5 linked regions of the Nothobranchius furzeri genome follow. The protein of the gene in region 5 purifies or fractionates together with the protein of the main gene of each other region. This does not show direct contact. Links are inferred from orthologs where the notes say so. Each region holds a gene or a part of one and is shown on either strand. Other genes may lie near its edges. The genes, in order: exoc1, exoc8, exoc7, exoc3 and exoc6b.

Region 1 (4,088 bases), on a different chromosome or scaffold from region 5:
GATTGATTGAGATTCTTATCTGGGGCCATGAGAATATCATTTGTAACTTTCACTAATACAGTTTCAGTGCTGTGATACTCTCTAAAACCAGACTGAAATTCCTCAAACAGAGCATTGGTGTTTAAATGCTCACATACTTGGATGGCCACTATTTTCTCCAGGACTTTGGATAAAAATGGAAGGTTAGATATTGGTCTATAATTCATTGGGTCATCTGGATCCAGAGAAGGCTTCTTAAGTGAAGGTTAGATTACAGCAACCTTAAAATCCTGTGGTACATACCCATTTACTAAGGATAGACTGATTATACCTAGAAAGGGGGCAGTAACCAAAGGAATTGCATTTTTAAATAATTTGGTTGGGATTGGATCTAAATTGCAAGTTGAAGTTAGATGAAGCTAATATTTTTGATAACTCTGAAAGCTCAACTGGATCAAAACGGTTCAAACACAGATGAGGTTCTACAGTTACCTCTGATGCTGCCTCACTTACTGAGGAAGAAGAAATCACATTAGGGAGGATGCTAAAGATTTTGTTTCTAATGGAATTAATTTTACTTGTGAAAAATTCCATAAAGTTGTTACTGCTGAGTGAATCGATGGTTCAGAGTTATGATTTTGTGTAAGTTTGGCAACTGTACTGAAAATAAATTTTGGATTATTCTTATTCTCCTCAATTAGCGCTGAAAAATAAGCAGTTCTAGCTTGTCGAAGCTTATTTTTATAAAGCACAAGACTATTTTTCCAGGATAAGTAGGACTCCTCCTGGTGTGTAGAGCACCGTGTTCTCTCCAATTTTCTAGAGTTTTGTTTTAAAGTTCGTAAATGAAAATCAAACCAGGGAGCCAACCGCCTATCCCTAATTACCTTCTTTTTTAAAGGGGCAACATCATCTAACACACGCACGCACGCACGTACGCACGCACACACACACACACACACACACACATACACGCATTCAGGCGCATAATGTGAAAGTATAAAAGTAAACATGGTAATAATATATCTAAAATATCAAGTAAATTATTGAGTCAAATTAATCTAAATGTAAACAGAGGCCCATGTTAAGGTGTCAGAAGTAACTTGTAACTGTAAAGGTGTAGTAGTGCACAGAAGCACTGACCTGGCTCCTAGCAGCAATAGATTCAGTTCAGGGTTGGCTCTTACACGTTGTTCAGTTACTGCTTTAAATAAGTTAAATTCGTTCCAAGAATTTCGCACATTACTGAAAATGACCAATAACTTTTAAAAAAAACTATCATTAAAATGGGTTTAGTATTTCCAGTGGGCGTGGCCTTTGGGTTGTCACATGACAGCTGTGGCCGAGAAGCAGGAAGTGAGAGGGCGGTGCTTTGAAGGGCTGCAGCGGATGAAAATAAGGTAAATGCTACGTAAAATCTATACTATTTTCAATATTTATAGAATATTTTGATTACGATATCTAAACACGCAATGTAGAGTCATTTGTGAATGTAGCTACAATGCACGTTGGGCAGTTTTTGCTGATCGTCGATAGCTTAGCAATGCTAGCCTAGGACTAATATCTAACCGGAGAGAGGACAACGTTTTTATAGGAACTAGTGCTGATTCTGTACCACATACACGACCTAAGTTGCTTCAGAACCCTTTAATTCGGGGTTTGGTAGCTTGTTATTGCTTAATAGAAACATTTACTACGATAGTCTCTCAGATTCAATCTCCGGCTTTATGTATACGTTAAACAGTAAACAGTGCAGTCTGCAAAAGCACCAGTCAGTAACCTTTTCCTGTGCTGCTAAAAACTGTCAAATTGGGTTAAATAAACGACTAAAGAATTTTTCGATAGCAAAGGAAAAAAATCAAGACTTGATATAACTTTTAGGGATTTTTTGCTGAATCTCTAAATGTTTTTCCGTGAAACGTCTGATATTTTTGAAGTTTGGTTCTTGTGTTCTCTGAAGGGCCTCGCTCTCTGTAATGTTGGTGGTGTTTGAATCACTCATCCGCCCCCCCCCCCCTCCCCACTTCATTCTGAGTTCCTACTCTGAATATGTGTTTTATTGTTAACTGGAAATCACGAACCGAACACTAGATACGTCTTGCGTTGATCAGATTCATGACTTGTTCTGTTCTGTATGACAGTACGATCCACCATGACAGCCATAAAGCACGCTCTCCAGAGGGACATCTTCACACCCAACGACGAGCGTCTTCTCGGCATAGTTAATGTCTGCAAGGCGGGAAAGAAAAAGAAAAACTGCTTCTTGTGTGCTACAGGTATGTGTGTGAAAGCTGCGGAAGCTCCTGTAAAGAACATTCATGATAAAAGGACTTTTTTTCCAGTTACCACAGAGAGGCCAGTCCAGGTTAAAGTGGTTAAGGTGAAGAAATCTGACAAGGGGGACTTTTATAAGAGACAGCAGACCTGGGAGCTCCGAGACCTGACAGTAGTAGATGCCAAAGATGCAAGCAAGGTTAGAGGTCACACGGTCTGTCATGGCGTCCCCTATTGGTTCAGCACTCTGCAGTTAGGACTGATGCATGCTCTGTTTACGTTGTAGGAAAACCCAGAGTTTGATCTTCATTTTGAGAAGGTTTACCGATGGTTGGCTAGCAGCACAGCTGAAAAAAACTCCTTCATTTCCTGTATCTGGAAGCTGAACCAGCGTTATCTAAGGAAGAAGTTGGAGTTTGTCAACGTCAACTCTCAGCTCCTTGAAGGTGGGTAAATGCTAAAACTTCAGCCAGCTCAGAGTCTGCATGCTCCTTACTATAACTTAATTGTAATTCTTTAAAGATGCATCTTTTCCCCTCAAGCTCTACAACTCTACAACCTTTTGCATGTGTAATGTGTATACCTCCATAATTTGGTAGATTTTATTTACAGGTAGCATGTTTTTAAAACTGAAAGCCTCTTCTTTGTATGTTGGTTTGTGTCAGTAGTTTTCTTTGTTAAGTTCTTTTTTTATTCTCACTCTTTTTCTCTTGATCTTTCTGTGGCCAGAGCTTCCTAAAGCTGAAGGTTGGTAGGAATAAACTTTCCGCTTGATCCCTCCTCCTACCTCTTCATTATACTGTTCATGACCCCAAGCCACCATTTTCATCAAAGATTCTAGTTTTCCTGCATTTCCTGTGATTTAAATCATGTAATTAAACATGGAGGACATAATAATACTAATGATAATTATAACATCAACTGTAACACAAACTTAGGTTGTTCAGCTATTCTATCTATTCCACATTAAGTCATGACTTAATTTTTTTGTGGCATTAGTGCACTGTACACATAGTTTATGCTCACCTCTTCTACATGTTATGTATTAAAATAGTCATAGTCTAATAATAAACACTAAATAAAATTTAGCTCATGTATGTGCTTTTTGACCTCATGCCACTGCCTGAGATTGGTTTTCATTTTGTGTTCATATCCCTGCTACATTATCATCAGATGTCGGTAATAAATGAGATTTTACGGCCTTTAGTAGCATTTCTTTAAACTCTAAATACCTTTGATTCTATTTATTTAAATCAAAGAAATAATAAAAAATAATCTGACAACAATGGCAGTGCTTCTGGTATTATCATCTGTATTCCTAATTTCACTTATTTTCATGGACTTAGAGTCGGTGCCGAGCGGTGAGAGCCAGAGTGTTGCCGGAGGCGACGAGGATGCCCTGGATGACTACCAAGAGCTCAGCACTCGTGAGGAGCAGGACATTGAGAGCATGATGGAGACGTGCGAGTACGCGATCTCTAACGCCGAAGCTTTTGCAGAGAAGCTCTTCAAGGAGCTGCAAGTTTTAGACGGGGTGAGCGAAGCAGTCACTGACGCTCTCTTTTTTTTTTTTTTTGCTAGTTTCTCAGAAAACCCAAATCATTAACGTATTAACTGCCAGCAGTTTCCGGATCAGAAAAGCCTCTCGCTGCCAGTGGTTTTGAGCGTTTTAACGGTTTTTTGAAGAGTCACAGAACGTTGTGCTCAATGATGAAATCAACTCCAAGATCACCAAAACAAAGGGTAGACTCACTTCCCACATCAGGACGGATCCGCGTGTTTCTAGAGTTATCTGTTCTTTCATAATCCGTCGTCATGGCAGATGCTTCTCCGGT
Region 2 (3,950 bases), about 74 Mb from region 5:
TCTTTCATTTTACCATCATTTCCTTCCTGCAGCATCTAAACACCCAGTAGTTAGTGTTGTGGATCGGGTCTGAGGGGGGAGGTGAAATGACAGGGAGGGAAGGGGGGAGTGGCCACCGGCCGCCGTTTCAGTCTCACGCGGTTTGTTAAACGAGCCGTCGAAGCTCCTGTCGGCCTCAGACTAAGGATGTGGTGCTCTCTGGGTTGATCCGCACCGGCCTCGTGCTCTTCCTCAGGTCCCGCAGCTGTTTGGCCGGTTTCCCCACACCCTCCTCAAACCGCCGCTCCACCACTGGCAGCACGGTGTCGTGGAGGAAGGTGGCGTTCTGCAGGACGAAAGCCTTCTTCTCGGGGTCCTGCTCACAGCGCAGGCTGTAGTCGACGTGCTGCACGGCCACCAGGATGATCTCCCTCAGGCTCTCCAGCAGCACCATGTGCAGCTCGGGGAAGTAGAGCTTCAGACCCTCTTCCAGGAAGCTCATCATCTGCTTGGTGAAGGCCACGATGGTGTAGCTCAAGTTCACCCAGCAGTCATCGCCCGTGTACTGCTGGAAACTAATCCCACAGCTACGCATCTCATCCTGCAAGACGAAGAGAAAAGCCTTAGATGCTGCTCAACACCCGCATTTTCTTTAGTTTTCTTCTTCAAACAAAAGAAACAAACACAAAATTGGGAATTAAGGAAGGCTGTTCGACCTTGAGCTTAGTTAAAGCCTCAGGGGTCATCAAGTTCATCCTCCTCCACATCTCCTCAGAGTTCCGGTGTTTTGTGGCCTCAATGATGATGTTCTTGTAGCTCAGCAGGGCTGCCTTGACGTCTTTGACCAGCAGCGACTGCAGCGTGAACGTCTGATCCAGGCCGATCTCCGTCAGCTGCTGACAGTGCTCCTTGGCCACTTTAACGCACTCTGCTGCTGTCGACAGGCTCTCCTTGCTGTCAAACACCTGGAAAACAGAAAATTGGCCGTTTTGAATCATTTTCTGAAATAATTGGAACAATAATTGATCTTGATTTTTTTTTTATCAAGAATAATGATCGAAACATATTTCTTGACTCATGTTAGGGACATCGCTGAGCCTCTGCTGACCTGTTTGCTAAACGCGTCCACAAACATCGTCATGGCCGATCTGGACCAGACCACAAAGGCAGAGTAGCAGCCCGTGTTCCCCGCAAAGTCCGTCTCAAACTCCTTGGCAGTTTCCAGCAGGCTGGTGAAGAAAATGTTGCAGAGTTTGTGGATGTAGAGCAGCGTGGCTCCTTCGATGCGGAGCTGCCGGATGGCCGTCTGGACAGCCGCGGCGCGGTTCTTCAGGAACAGCTCGCAAGCCTTGGTGGACTGACCTGAAACACAGAAATGACATCATCAACTGTTGGAAATATAACTTTAAATTGTTACAGGCATGGATTCTCCAAGGACTACTCTGGCTTTGTGTTGAAATGTTTACTGGTTTTGGGAAATCAACATTTTAATGGTCTGTGAGATCTTATTAATACAAATAAAGACCTAATCTGATGAGCTGGGACACGGCCCGCCGGGTCGCTTTAGGTCCACCACGAAGCGACCGATCAGGAGACAGCTCAAACACCAAGACCTCAGTCAGCTGCCGCACACGCTCATCCACCTTCGCCTTCAGCTCTTTCACCGTCTGGGTCGCAGGCTGGTCTTTGAGATACTCGTTCAGCTTGTCCAGCAGGTCCACTGCACCCTCAAAGTCTCTCTGAGCGATGCACACATCCAGGTCCTCGGGCAGCTCCTGGATCCACTCGAGACTGAGGTCCACACTCTCCTCGGCATCTGCCGGCTCGTCGTCATCCACATCAAAAGGGTTGTTGGACACTTCGGCTCGCACGGGAGAGGTGGGGACCTCCTCCTCTTTCTTGTGTTTGTCCTGGGAGGCTTTCTTTTTCTTGGTTTCATCCAGGATCTCCAGCCACTCCTTCTTGACTTTGCTGTTTTCCACCTGGAAGATGCGGCTGTCTGGGAACATGAGAATCTTGAACATGTCCTTCATGGGAGGGTTGTCCTTTACGTTGACCACAGCAAAGCTCTCCAGATCATACAGGGCATTGTATTTATACTTCACTGTGCCTCTGCGGTTAGGCAGCCAGGTGGCAATCAACAGGCAGTCATTCATCAGGAAAGCATGAGCCTTCTGGATGGGGGACATGTTGTCCACATCAAACTCCACGAGGTCTCCATTGTAGACCAGGTGTCTCCCTGGGGTGTCCATGATGTTTTTAGCTCCTTCCACCTTCTCCAGCAGTGAGGTGAGAGTCCTCTGCTTCAGGTCCTCTGTCTCTTTGGGGAACGCTGCCTGCATCTCTTTGGAGGTCTCGTCCTTGTCTGTGGACAGTAAGGCCTGAGTGATGCTCTCCATGATGCTCTTCTGCTCGGTGAGGATGTGGCTCAGCTGGTACATCTCGCTCTCCAGGAAGGAGATCTCCTTGGCCGTTTCGATGAACTGTCTGTAGTTCTTGTACACGTTCTTCTTGAGGTTTTGGGCCGTTTCATCAGCCAGAGTTTGAATTTTCTGACGATGCTCCTGAAGGTCTCTGTCGCCATCCGACTGCTGTGACAGCTGCTTGACGTAGTTCTGTGGATCGAAGTTGGGCGATTCCAGCAGCTTCCGAAGTCGGTTCCCGGTTTCCGACATCTTTGGTTGTCTGCGTGTTTCCTTATTAAGCAAAACTGTTAACAAACTGACGAGAAACGCAAACAGAGAACGAGCGCCTTCATATCCACGTCAACAAACACAGGAAGCTGAAAACAGGTCAACACCCCAAAAGGATCTGGCTTCTCCAACACCCGGGTTGTCAACGTCACATGAACGTCACGAGAAGGGAGAACAAAAAGGATGATCAACAAAAACTCAGAACAAAATTGTTATTGATCTTTCAGGTAAACCAAACAATGTTTTATTTTTATTTTAAAGCTTCTGTTTATTTATTTACTCATTTTGCTTTTTGTGTGTTGTTATTTTGCAGTTGTTACTGATTACTGGGCTATTGAACAACACCCGGAATAGGTGTTTTGTTGTCCAACTATTTACCTACCGGAAGTTTACGGTAGCTGCAGAAACATTACAGATTTTCAACAGCGTTTAAACAAGCTAATTTTAGTCATCTGCTGATTAAAATAAGATACAAAACTAAGCGGGGAAAGCCAAATCAAACACGAAATTAAGTTTGAAGTAGTTTTTTATTTAGAAGTTCATACGGAAAGAGACTCGTTGTAATGTAGTACATGTAGCAAACCTGCTGTTTGGCGCGAGCTGTGGACAGACCGACTATTATTACAGATACCTTTGGCTGACAAGAAGATGAGATTCATCTTTCAAAGTCATGACTTCAGTCCTTTTACCGATGTTTCTCTGAAAGGTTGATTTTATAATTAGGCTGCAGACGTCGTTTGTTCCAGAACTTCGTGCTATTTACATTAGCAAGTCAGCTAACAAGCTAGCACAGCTGCCTTCTGATGTCATGGATGCGGATTTCCTGCTTGCCATTAAATTACAGGAGCAGTTCGATAATGAGTACGAGACGTCATTAACCTCATCAAATAGATTCGAGGATAATTACTTCGAACAAAGCAGTAAGAGACGGAAAGTGGAAGCAGCCGGAGGTGGCAGCGCTGCTGTCCCCTCCTGGAAGCCGGGTCACGAGCCTGAGAAACCCCTGAGCATCGTGGATGAGTCCTGGGAGATGCTGGACCCAAACCCAGATGTGAGGGCCATGTTTCTGGAGTTTAATAGCCTGTTCTTCTGGGGGAAACTGAGCGGAGTCGAGGTGAAGTGGAGCCCCAGAATGACACTGTAAGTTTTGTTTGTTCACCAGATTTCCTACAGCAGGGATGTTTATAAACACTGTTGGCTTTACTGGGATTCAAATATGGTAGCCACAAAGCGCGAGATGCTTGGAAAAACATCATTATTGAAGAAAAATAAGGTAAA
Region 3 (3,514 bases), on a different chromosome or scaffold from region 5:
CACCAGTTATGGAGAAAAAAAGAAAAAAGAAAAAAAAAACACCGAAAAAGAAGCACAACAGCATGACCAGCCACATTACCGTCCTGGGTTAACCCTGTTTTCTTCATTCTTATACTTATTTAAAATTAGGTTTTTATATTTTACTTTAAACTGGTTTGTTTTTACTTTCTTTTATCTCTTCTGTTGGACTGTTCCATAATTTAACTCCTGCAATTGCAATTGACCTAGTTTTTAAAGTTGTTCTAGCACTTTGTATTTTTAAATTCAATTTCCCTCTTAAGTTATACCCACCTTCTCTTTGTTTGAACAATAAACAGATTTCTTTTGGAAGCAATTTATTTCTTACTTTATTTACAATTTAACACCAGCAGTGACTTTCCACTCCCATTATTACCTGTTCAAGTGAAAACATCAATAAAACGACTGAACAAGAACATAGTGACAATATAAATAACAGTAACCATCTATCATTTTAGTCATTTGTAATAATTTACATGAAAACAACTATTAGTATTTAAATTATTTATTTATTTTACATTTAATTGGGTTTTTGGGGCCCATTTCAGGACCACAAACTTGGTGTTTCACGACCCACAGTAAGGTCGCGACCCCAACTTTGAGAACCACCGTTTTACTGTTTGCACAAATTGACTAGGGCAGGGTACAGAGGATGTAATGGTCAGAGCTAAGAGTCGAAGCAAAGCTTAATATTGACAGTAAATCACATAATGGTACCTTTAACTTGTTCATTACGAGATAACAGCTTGGATATTATTTCTGCAGAAAGCTCGTTTTGAGAAGGGTAAAGAGCTGCTGGAGGCCGAATTTCGGAGCCTTCTGAACCGCTACAGTAAACCCGTCCCCCCAATTCTCATCCTGGACGTTATCAGTGTTGATGAAGACATGGAGCTGCAGGAGGAGGTGTTGCTAGAGCACCTGCCTGAGGCTGTCCTCCAGGATATCATCTGCATCGCCAGCTGGCTGGTGGAATATGGACGCAACCAGGGTATGACTAGTTTTAGAGGTGTCTTACGTCTCACTATTTATGAATATTTGGTCCTAAAACTTTTTGGGTTAAACCTGTGGAGTCCTCATCATTGTTTTGGTTCCATAAGTCCAACAAATTGTCTTCAGTCTCTGGGCAGATTTTACACACCAGCTGTTCCTGAAGGTTGATTTTCTTTTATGGTTCATTAATCACAGCTTCCAGGGTAATCATCATGCAATAGGAGGTGGTTCAGGTTGTAGTCCATAACCACCGGTAGGTGTGGGCCATGTCGGGACCAGGAGGAGACCATGGTGGAATCATTATTAGCTGAAATAGTTAAAATACAGAAAATACTTTTCCCCTTATAGAAGCCCATTATCTCTGAGCTAAGTGTTGTCAGACTGTGAGGTATTTAGACACTTCTCTCCCGAACCATCTCTTCTTCTCCTGTCTTCAGATTTCATGAACGTCTACTACCAGATCAGGTCCAGTCAGCTGGATCGCTCCATCAAAGGCCTGAAGGACCACTTCCGTAAGAACAGTGCCTCCTCTGGGATCCTCTACTCTCCTGCTGTCCAAACCAAACGGAAGGACACGCCCACCAAAAAGATTCCAAAGAGACCAGGTCAGCAGCAGATTCCTCTGAGCTTTTGTCTTCATGACCTTTACGCCTTTAGCTGGACCCAGCAAACAAGTCCGAACCTGTTAGATGTCAGAATCTGATTTCCATCCAGCCACGGTCCTCTGAGGATTTGTCAGAGACTCCCTGAGCTTCAGAGATCCTGTCTCTGGTTTTAAATATCTTAGGTGTGTTCTTGCTGTGCGTTATTTCTAATTCCATGTTGTCGTTCTTTTTAAAACACAGAACCAGTTTAGTTTACCTGTTTTGTAGCTACGTTTCGCCGACGGCTGCCGGCTTCTTCAGGCTGACGCTGATGGTGGCGCGTCACTTCCTTCTCCGTTTATCTGCGGGCTGCGCTGGACCACGCACGGGACTGCATCGTCGGAGAGGGGAGAGCGGGCAGTAGAGGGCGACAACATCCTCTGCTGCCCGCAGATAAACGGAGAAGGAAGTGACGCGCCACCATCAGCGTCAGCCTGAAGAAGCCGGCAGCCGTCGGCGAAACGTAGCTACAAAACAGGTAAACAAAACTGGTTCTGTGTTTGAAAAAGAACGACAACATGGGACCTGGTTTTAAATGTTCTAACCATCCTTCATCCTTTCCTCTTCATAATCCCTGTGTTCCGATGACATCAGTCTACATCCCAGGTAAATGCAAAGCTTCAGTGTGAGCACTGTGCTTCCTGCTGTCCGCCTGACGCCACGCTTCGCCTCCATGTCAGTTCGGTTTTCGCTCAGCTGTGTCTGACAGGTCGTTTTCAGCGTGAAGGCCTTTAGCTTCATGGTGTGGAAAATGTCTCATACCGAAAAGGTGAAGCTGATTAAAAGTAATGAGGCTCGTTGCTGTTCCAGACAAACACCCTGGAGTTCCGGCTCACTTTACGGAGACGGGATCCCTAACCCCCAAATTCCACTACCTCCGCTCCGGTCCGTCCCCGCCTTCCGCAGCCGCTCGCTTCCGAACTCAATTTTTCTTGGTACCCGCTCTACAACGGCTCCGCTCCGGTGCGGAGACCTGAGGTGGGCAAACAAGCGTGCGCAGGATTTTCGAGATCTTGCGATACAGTCCGAGCAATAAACGCGGAAGTTTAGATCCAAACACCCGTTGTGTGGGAGAAGCATCGACAAGAACTGCTTAATCTGCCCATCATTTGTGTTGAGAGATCAGCAGTGTTTGGATCAACAAAGTGTGACTACTTTGACAGTAGAAACTGTATTTATGGCTTACTTTTGTGCATTTAAACTTCAGCTGCCATTGATAGTTGTTAAAAGTTGTTAAACCTGTGCATATGAAACAAAAAACGCCTTTTGTTTATCGATTTATTGTGAAAAACGGAAGTTGTGCTTGCTCCTTTTCCTGTTGGGCGGTTGTGATTTCTGTCCATTTAATGCGGAGGTGCTCCGGCGTCCGGCAAAAATAGGATCGATTCTATTTTTGCCGGACGCCGGAACAGAGGGCGGCGCACGGCGCCGCACTGCTGGAGCACGGCCGCAGTAGTGGAATTGCTCTGATTGACTACAACGGGACCGATTTTGCTCCGGCGTTCGTGTCGGAGCGGAGCGGAGGTAGTGGAATTTGGGGGTAAAGGTCTTCTGCTGTGGAGGGTTTCAGTTTGTCTAGATTGGTTGTTGTAGTTTAAATCAGGAACCAGTTCTTGACATGTACTGGTGAAGAGGTTTGTGTGTCAAGGCGGTTCAGAAGCGTTTCTAACTATTGTTTATTCCTAGTCAAGCTGTGATGAAGTCTTGATAAAAAGTACATTGCTTAAACGTAACAGAATGTCAGTTGTTTAGCAGCCTGTTGTTGAATTAACTCACATTTAATGCAAACGTCTCAAAAAACATTTGATTAGCAAAATCCTGAGTGAAAGGAGCAACTTTCCAGACTTACTTCCTGGTGAACC
Region 4 (3,514 bases), on a different chromosome or scaffold from region 5:
TGTAAAGTATGAAAATAAAGTTTACACAACCATCTCATGGGCCGGATTTAACCCGCTTGCGGGCCAGATCCGGCCCGCGGGCCGCATGTTTGACACCCCTGACCTAGACTCTGATCCCAGCCAACAGACTGCTTGCAGCTGAAAGGAAGACTCGGTTCAAACCCAAACACATCTTTTAGTCACCTGCAGCTCATGTATTGCTCAGGTTAATGACTCTAAAATGACTGGCCTAAACCTCTTGGAGTGGGATAACAAGTAACCAGCATCTCACCTTTTTGGTTACACGACACCAACGGAGACCCCAGGCACCCAAAATCCTTTTAAGTTTCTTACAGTAAGAAACCAAGGTTTTTATTTAATAGGATGAAAAAAGATGAATCCAAACAGAATCACCCCAACGCAGCGGGTAAGAAAAAACACAGAGCTCCACCGAACTCGTACAGAACTCTCCCAGAACTCAGAACTCTCCTGGGCCCCCCTTTTTATTACTTTACTTCCCCCTCCTTCTTGTCTCCTCTTCGTCTCCATGACAACTCCCGCTTCAGGAAGCACTCTGCTCAGCCTTGTGACTCCTCCCAGCGTCTCTTGCTTGGTGTTCTTCAGGCTTGTGGTCATCAATCGACAGGGCGAGGCGAGCCTTCCTTGTCTTCTCCAGGGGTCTGCTTAAGCCAACCATAAGCATATCCCAGACGCAGCGTCTACCCTGAATCTTTATTGCATTCTGGACTAACCCCACAGAGGTCAGTAAAAGGCTAAAGCCACAACATATATTCACCAAAAACAGCAGAGTCGTGAAGCACATCCATTATTTACGACATTAGGAGATCAGGAGTCAAATCACACACACACATTCACCCACACACAGCCTTTCTTTGACCTCCCAGCCTGGTTTTATTAACACACAGATCGAGAGGTAATCCAGAACTGCTTTCTTTTAATACGCAGGTCTGGAATCAAAAATCTTTGTTCAACAGGTTCAAAGCGTTCCGATGATGGCAACTGGACTTCTTTGGTTTCTTGATGACGTTTTGCTTCTCATTTAAGGAGCTTTGTCAATTCTGACTGGAATATGGGAGGATTAGACTTATAAGCTGTAGCTGTAGCTGTCTGTTGTTGCTGGCGGGAAAAATGTTAGCTGACACACCTGGCGCTGCAGTCTGGCTCCAGCACGTTTCCTGCATGTTTTAGATCATGAAGACAACTGGTTTGTTTAATTTAGTGATGAATCACTTCTGTAGACACTAAGGGCCATTAGATACTTGCTGTTTGACAATGCAAACGTGTGTTTAAAATGGCTGCCACGTGTTACTCGCGTTGATTTAAAGCGTCATTTGTGTGTGTCCCCCCGAAATTAATACAACACGTCCGAACGCTGCAATATACGAGTAACCAGTAGGTAGGGATGTCCCGACACAACTTTTTCACTTCCGATACGATGCCGATATTGAAGCCTTCAGTTTCCTTTCTAGTTTCCTTTTCTGATGAATTTTGATAATGTTTCCAACAGCATCACCTGAGCGAACTGTTGACCAGGAAGTGGCTGACGGGTTCTCATGCAGTTGATACTATCTGCGTCACAGTGGAGGACTACTTCAATGACTTCAACAAAATTAAAAAACCGTTCAATCAGGTGAGACGAGACAGAATCACTATCTGCAAGAAACATTCAAAAGAGATTTTTCAACTGTTTTATGTGAAATGTTTATTCCCTCTGACATTTGACCAACCAAACCCATTTCTGTAGGTGTGACGGTGGTGCAGTGGATCAAAAAACTCAGTTTAGGTCACATCACGGTTTTCAGTCACGGATTGGATCAGTTTTCAGATCAGCAGAAAGAAAAAGAAAAGACAAATAGCTCGTCTCTCTTTATTTATTAGAACACTTGTGCAACATTTTTCTGCTCAATTTGCAACCTGCTATAAAAATAGGAATTACAGAGAGGTCAGATTGCTGATTAAATGTCAAAACAGCTTGCCATTTAAGACACGCCCATTCCCTGCGTTTCCTGCTTTCACTAATTCCCTCACCCTTTTGAAGCACTATTTGTATTCTTTCCTCGTCTTTTACAGATATTTATAGGTCCAACCTCGTTAATGTAATAATTGGCCCAGCATTTTGCATGCCCCCCCCCCCCCCCTTCTGTTTCACAGCAATTGGAGGTACGTCTGCGCTGCGCTGTCAGACTGGAGGCATGTGCGTGTGTGTTCGTTTATGCAGTTTGCATCATCATCGTTTTTTACAGGGAAACCAAAATGCTTTCATACATGAGACGATGCAGGTGGTTTTTCAAGCACCTCTTCTCCTCCGCCATGACCACCGCTGTGCTTTCTTGTTTGGATTGAACAGGTGGCTCCTCGGCCCTTCACGTGTCTCCTCGGACCATGTGCATGCCGAACCGTGGAGTGAGATTCGTGCGGATCAGGGATGATCCGTTGCACCCCTAGATAGAACTAACCTGCTGGACTGTGTTCTGTGTAGGAGATGACCAACGAGGCCCATCGTAGGGTGGTGGTAGAGTACATCAAAGCAGTCATGCAGAAGAGAATCACTTTTAAAAATGCCGATGAGAGGAAAGAAGGAGCCGAAAGGATGATCAAAGAAGCTGATCAGTTCAAATTCCTCTTCAAGAAACTGGCAGCGGTGAGTTTTTACCTGCTGCTGTTTGTTGTTCCATAGTACATGTGGCTGTGCGTGCCCTGTGGTTAAATCTGCTGCTATAGATGAGATTTGAATATATTAAATATGGGAGTAAGGTGGCTGGTGTGCTGTTGAAGAAGACATTCAGATCTAGAAAGTCTAGAAAAACCACCTCTAGGGAAAGGAAAACTGTGTTCATCAACCCTGAACCTGCAACTTTTGTTCATGCTTTTTGAGTTTAAGGACCAGACCTATTCTCTTGTGCTTCTAAGGTTTAGGGTAGGGTTAGATCATGTCCAGCTAAGGACTCAGAAAAAAAAACAACTTCAGAGATAGGAAAAGCTGTAGAAAAAAAACAATAAATGGTCAACATCAGATCAGTGACGCTGTAAGCTCAGGTTGTTGCATGTAGGCTATGCTCTAATTTTGTTTTGTGAAAAAATGTGATTGACAGATTTGAAATGAATGGCTGTGTAAAATAGAAATGAGCTCAATAGAGACCAGGATCCGATTGTGGGGAGCTACTCCAATAAAGATCATTAAAACAGAGCAGTAGTTATTCATTCATTCACAATAAAAAGTAAAAGGAGCCAGCTGAGCACCAAATACATCCAGCACTTCTGATTTTCTATTACATAGCAACTCTGGGTGTTGTAAATGGAGGTGAGATGAGGCAGAATGTTTGAATCATTTGGAATGCACCTATACATTTTTTAGAGTCAAATTTTGGCCCTTCTCTGACAGGACTAAAGTATCCTCTTCCTTCATGTTGTATTCGTCTACTAGAAACTTCAAAACTTAATAGAAACATGCAATGCACATGTTTGTTTATTTGTTTATTTATACATTTATATTTTGGGATGATGAGAAGCACTT
Region 5 (4,007 bases):
CTCCGCAGTAGCAGAGCGCTGCAGGCACAAATAAGACAGAAAATAGAGAACATGTGCAGACATGAACGATCGTGTACTAATTATGGTTTTTTGGTTGCGCCACTTTGAGAATGGACCGTGCGCTGGAAGCAGCTGCCTGGATCGCTGCGCAACAATGCGCTGTGCCGCTCTCTGCTCAAAAGAGTCCAAAAATGATATAATATAGAAAACTTTTTTCCGGTTCCCCTGGATGTGTAGGATATACAGCTCCCCCATAATTCGATCCCTGCTCCTGGATGAAAAGCCGGACATTTTCATCAATACAAGAACCCGCAGTCCGGACGCGCCGGACAGAGAGTGAAAAGTGGACACGTCCGGGGAAAACGGAACGTACGGTCACCATAGTCCTCATAAAGCTGGAAATTATACAGTATTTTGCTCGTGCCCTGGGCAATTGCCCAGTTAATCCGGCCTTGGGCGGAACCGGTTCGCAGCAGCGCGAGTCCCGCCGCTCATCTAATAAGCGTCGCGCTCACGACTTTAGACTCTTTTTTTTAGGAGCTTAGGGCATGTCTAGCCTGTGTAATAATCCGGGACTTGGATGAATCACTTTTGAAAAGTTTTTAATTTACCCGGACACAGAGTTCTCTCCTTCCTCGCTGATGATCCCGACATGCTTGCGTTTAAGACGCTGCATCATCCCGTGCCATGCCAAGTCTGACCTAAACGTTGCAGGTAACGAATGTCTTCGCCTGATTTAACTGAAAATGCTCCCAAACTTAAAAAGCTTTTACTTTTTTGACTCTCGCTGCTTCTGCTATGTTCCTCTTCCAAACACCTGCCGGCTCTCCCTCGCGCTGATCTGTCTGCGCGCAACGGCGGGCGGGAAGGGGGGACGCTTTTGGAAGAGTTGTGCGACACAACGAATCGATGACGCAATTCGTTGCCAACGCTTTTAGTAATCGATTTTCATCGAATTTATCGATTCGTTGTTGCAGCCCTACTTGGAGCCCCCACCACCTCACTCCCTGCTCAGTTAATTTAAGATGGCAGCGTGCTGAGAGTACAGATTGTTGTTGCTTTTATTTAATAAACAATCATTTTAAAGCACTGTTATTATATCTGACTGTTTTTAACAGCAATCCTAGCTCAGACACCACATCACTTTCCACATATATGTCATGAGCTCACTGAGCGCAGATTACCAGATTCATATGGAAGTTGTTTTGGTGAAAGTAACTTAAAGTAATGCAAAAGTAGTGTAATGCCTTACATTTTAAAATCAGTAATATGGTAATGTAATGAATTACTTTAAAATGAGGACAAGTAATAAATAATGCATTAAAGTTTTGAAGTAACTTGCCCAACATGTTGTGTGTTGACTTATGTACGGCCCGCCGTGTGTGTGTGCGTGCGTGTGTGTGTGAACCATGTTTAGTAGGAAGGGCATGACTCTGCATGTCATCATTTAGTGTTTATAGGTCAAAAAAGGTCCCCATTAGACGTGCTGTCACTTCTTAGGATGACCAGAAAATAGCCGCCACATGGGGGTGGTTAAAGAGAGAAACAAACATCTGCAAAAACACAAACACACCTTCGATTAGCCTTCAATAGCCCAGTCCCTCCGCTGCATTTCCTTTTCCATCCACGGCCCGTTTCCTCTTAGAGACAATAGCAAAGACCAAGAGCAGTCTCTCGGTAAATTTCCATTTCTGAGATGGATTTCTAAATAAAGCCGACTCACACGTATCTAATTTTAAAAATGGCACGCTGCTGTGGTGTAAAGTGTTCGTGTGCCAAGCCTTACCATGAAGGGCTGAGCAGAAACAGGGCTGCGACCAAATGCAGAAGAAATAACGCTGCATCAATTACAGGCTTCTGCTAAAAGCCACCAGTTACAACCAGCAGCTAATGTCACGTCTTCGGTTTGAAAAAGAGACAGAAGGAAACCCTCTCGTTCACAAAGAGAACTCTCTGAGTCTAAACAAGCAGGGATTGTAAAGGCAGCTGCATTTGAGGCTCCCTGATTTAGCGTATAGATTTGTCGTTACTAACATAACGAGAAATACTAAATTGTGTTGAAATCCGCTTCAAAATGCTGACCCGAGTCATAAACCCGGGAGACATATGAGTGAAAAAGCACTGAGCTAATTTTAACAGCCTCGTTCCCCAACAGGAGCAGAATGACAATTGGTTAGCAAAGGAAGCTAATGCTAGCCAAAGCGATTAAAATACCTGTGGATGTGTTACTAAAGTTTAGTGACAAAGCCTGTAGGACAGTGGTGAATTAAAGACATTAAGTCAGTCCAGTCGGTCAGTAGCTTCTGTTTAAGGTTTTTAACACCAGGTTCTGAGATGTGTTCCACCCAGCTTTGATGTTTGCTAAAGTTAGCCGGCTAGCTGTCCGATAATGGACGCATCTATGTTAAAGTTTTGAGAGAGCTCTGGAAGAGGAGTGACGCCAACGGCTAGACTGTCTCCCCGCTGCTGGAAGGGGACATCCTCCGGGGTGTTACTTACCGGAGGGTCGGTCCGATACAGTTGGTCTCGGTGCTCTCGATTTCCCGCAGTATGCGTTCGTGTTCGGCGGCTGTCTCTACAATCGCCATCCTGCATGTTGCTCAGAACGGTTCCGAGCAGCGACGAGCAGAGCGACGGGGAGGAGGAAGGGCAGGGTTGGTTCGATATTTTCACTGAGCAGCCCGAAGGAGCGGAGTTTATGTCAAATTAAAATATTATGAATAATCAGTTCAGTGTTAATCTTCTGAATAGTAAGGGACTTTAAAATCTACAAACATTGCAAATAAAAATAAATTACTTAAGATTAACTAGTTACTGATGAGTAGATTATCCCGAGCGGTTTTCTGGTTTTAAACCCAACTAACTCATTAACATGCGCCACAGATCCTAATAATGAGAATACTGTATTTGTTATAATTAATATAACTAGAAATAAACAGTTGACTAGTTTTGGACCATATCTATAATATTTGGCTCAATATTTCATGGGTTAAGTGGACACTTTTTGTCTTCTTTGACCCAGCTCTCACCCTGGATTCTCATGTCAGTTCTCTTGTTCTGCTCTTCCTTCTTCCATCTCAGGAACATTGCTAGGCTGAGTCCCATTCTGTCCCGCTCTGAACTTGAGACAGTTCTCCACACCTTCATCTCCTCACGCTTAGACTACTGTAACTCTCTTTTCACGTGTCTGAGCAGAACCTCCCTGAACCGTGGTTCAGAATGCCTGTGCTCGGCTTCTGACCAAGTCCTCCAAACACACCCACATCATCCCGCTTCTCCTCCAGCTTCACTGGCTGGCAGTCAACTTCAGGGTTCATTTCAAGATCCTGGTTCTGGCCTTACACGGACAAGCACCATCTTCCATTGGTGAACTTCTTAGTCCCTACACCCCCAGCAGGTCCCTGAGGTCCAGTGATCAAAGCCTACTGGCTGTGCAGCACCAGGCTAAAGACCAAAGGTGACAGATCATCTGCTGCTGTGGCCCCCAGACTCTGGACCTCTCTCCCCCTGAGCCTGAGATCAGTGGACTCCTTTAAAAAGCAGCTGAAGACTCACTTGTTCAGGCTGACCTTCTCTCTCTTTATTCTGCTCTCCCCACCTATTCTACCTTCCTCAGGATCCACTGATTTCCCTCTTTCCTATTCACTCTCTCTCTTTCTTAACATTTTTTATCACAATTGTCTATTTTTTGTTCATTTAAATATATTTTAACAACTTTCTAAATTCTTTTTTATATTTTTACATTTTTTGTTTTTGTGAAGCGCCTCGTGATTTTTACCTTGAGAGGCGCTATTGAAATATTTTCTTCTTCTTCTTCTTCTTCTTCTTCTTTATTTACAATCAAGAGTGTATAAACTCATAAACTGGTATTTTGGTATTCTCCCCCTAATCTTTTGATTTGTTCAGAATCAGGATTTTTTTAACCAACAACTGTTTAATTTCAGCCGAGGATAGACGATTTTTTTGACAGCTAACTTCAGCTAATGTTAAAACGATTATTTTGGGTC

What was found.
Region 1: the proteins of exoc6b (region 5) and exoc1 purify together in Homo sapiens (affinity purification with mass spectrometry; 3 studies listed by BioGRID and IntAct, counting the BioPlex papers as one, with this or other methods). This does not show direct contact. The link is inferred for Nothobranchius furzeri from reciprocal best matches to the Homo sapiens genes EXOC6B and EXOC1.
Region 2: the proteins of exoc6b (region 5) and exoc8 purify together in Homo sapiens (affinity purification with mass spectrometry; 3 studies listed by BioGRID and IntAct, counting the BioPlex papers as one, with this or other methods). This does not show direct contact. The link is inferred for Nothobranchius furzeri from reciprocal best matches to the Homo sapiens genes EXOC6B and EXOC8.
Region 3: the proteins of exoc6b (region 5) and exoc7 purify together in Homo sapiens (affinity purification with mass spectrometry; 3 studies listed by BioGRID and IntAct, with this or other methods). This does not show direct contact. The link is inferred for Nothobranchius furzeri from reciprocal best matches to the Homo sapiens genes EXOC6B and EXOC7.
Region 4: the proteins of exoc6b (region 5) and exoc3 purify together in Homo sapiens (affinity purification with mass spectrometry; 3 studies listed by BioGRID and IntAct, counting the BioPlex papers as one, with this or other methods). This does not show direct contact. The link is inferred for Nothobranchius furzeri from reciprocal best matches to the Homo sapiens genes EXOC6B and EXOC3.

The regions. Positions count from the first base shown.
Region 1 is NC_091748.1:40,500,137-40,504,224, forward strand, and holds the start of exoc1 (exocyst complex component 1), read left to right. Parts: upstream 1-1,286; 5' UTR 1,287-1,379; intron 1,380-2,120; 5' UTR 2,121-2,131; coding exon 2,132-2,255; intron 2,256-2,321; coding exon 2,322-2,452; intron 2,453-2,539; coding exon 2,540-2,699; intron 2,700-2,982; coding exon 2,983-3,000; intron 3,001-3,599; coding exon 3,600-3,787; intron 3,788-4,088.
Region 2 is NC_091742.1:10,762,562-10,766,511, reverse strand, and holds the start of exoc8 (exocyst complex component 8), read right to left. Parts: upstream 2,804-3,950; 5' UTR 2,655-2,803; coding exon 1,505-2,654; intron 1,342-1,504; coding exon 1,088-1,341; intron 945-1,087; coding exon 696-944; intron 581-695; coding exon 176-580; 3' UTR 1-175. Other genes in the region: DNA-dependent metalloprotease SPRTN, read left to right, coding at 3,481-3,812. UniProt on the Homo sapiens protein: Component of the exocyst complex involved in the docking of exocytic vesicles with fusion sites on the plasma membrane.
Region 3 is NC_091756.1:53,828,728-53,832,241, reverse strand, and holds part of exoc7 (exocyst complex component 7), read left to right. Parts: intron 1-783; coding exon 784-1,006; intron 1,007-1,445; coding exon 1,446-1,613; intron 1,614-2,246; coding exon 2,247-2,258; intron 2,259-3,514. UniProt on the Homo sapiens protein: Component of the exocyst complex involved in the docking of exocytic vesicles with fusion sites on the plasma membrane.
Region 4 is NC_091751.1:65,605,340-65,608,853, reverse strand, and holds part of exoc3 (exocyst complex component 3), read left to right. Parts: intron 1-1,507; coding exon 1,508-1,630; intron 1,631-2,479; coding exon 2,480-2,641; intron 2,642-3,514. UniProt on the Homo sapiens protein: Component of the exocyst complex involved in the docking of exocytic vesicles with fusion sites on the plasma membrane.
Region 5 is NC_091742.1:85,092,784-85,096,790, reverse strand, and holds the start of exoc6b (exocyst complex component 6B), read right to left. Parts: upstream 2,812-4,007; 5' UTR 2,589-2,811; coding exon 2,500-2,588; intron 1-2,499. UniProt on the Homo sapiens protein: Component of the exocyst complex involved in the docking of exocytic vesicles with fusion sites on the plasma membrane.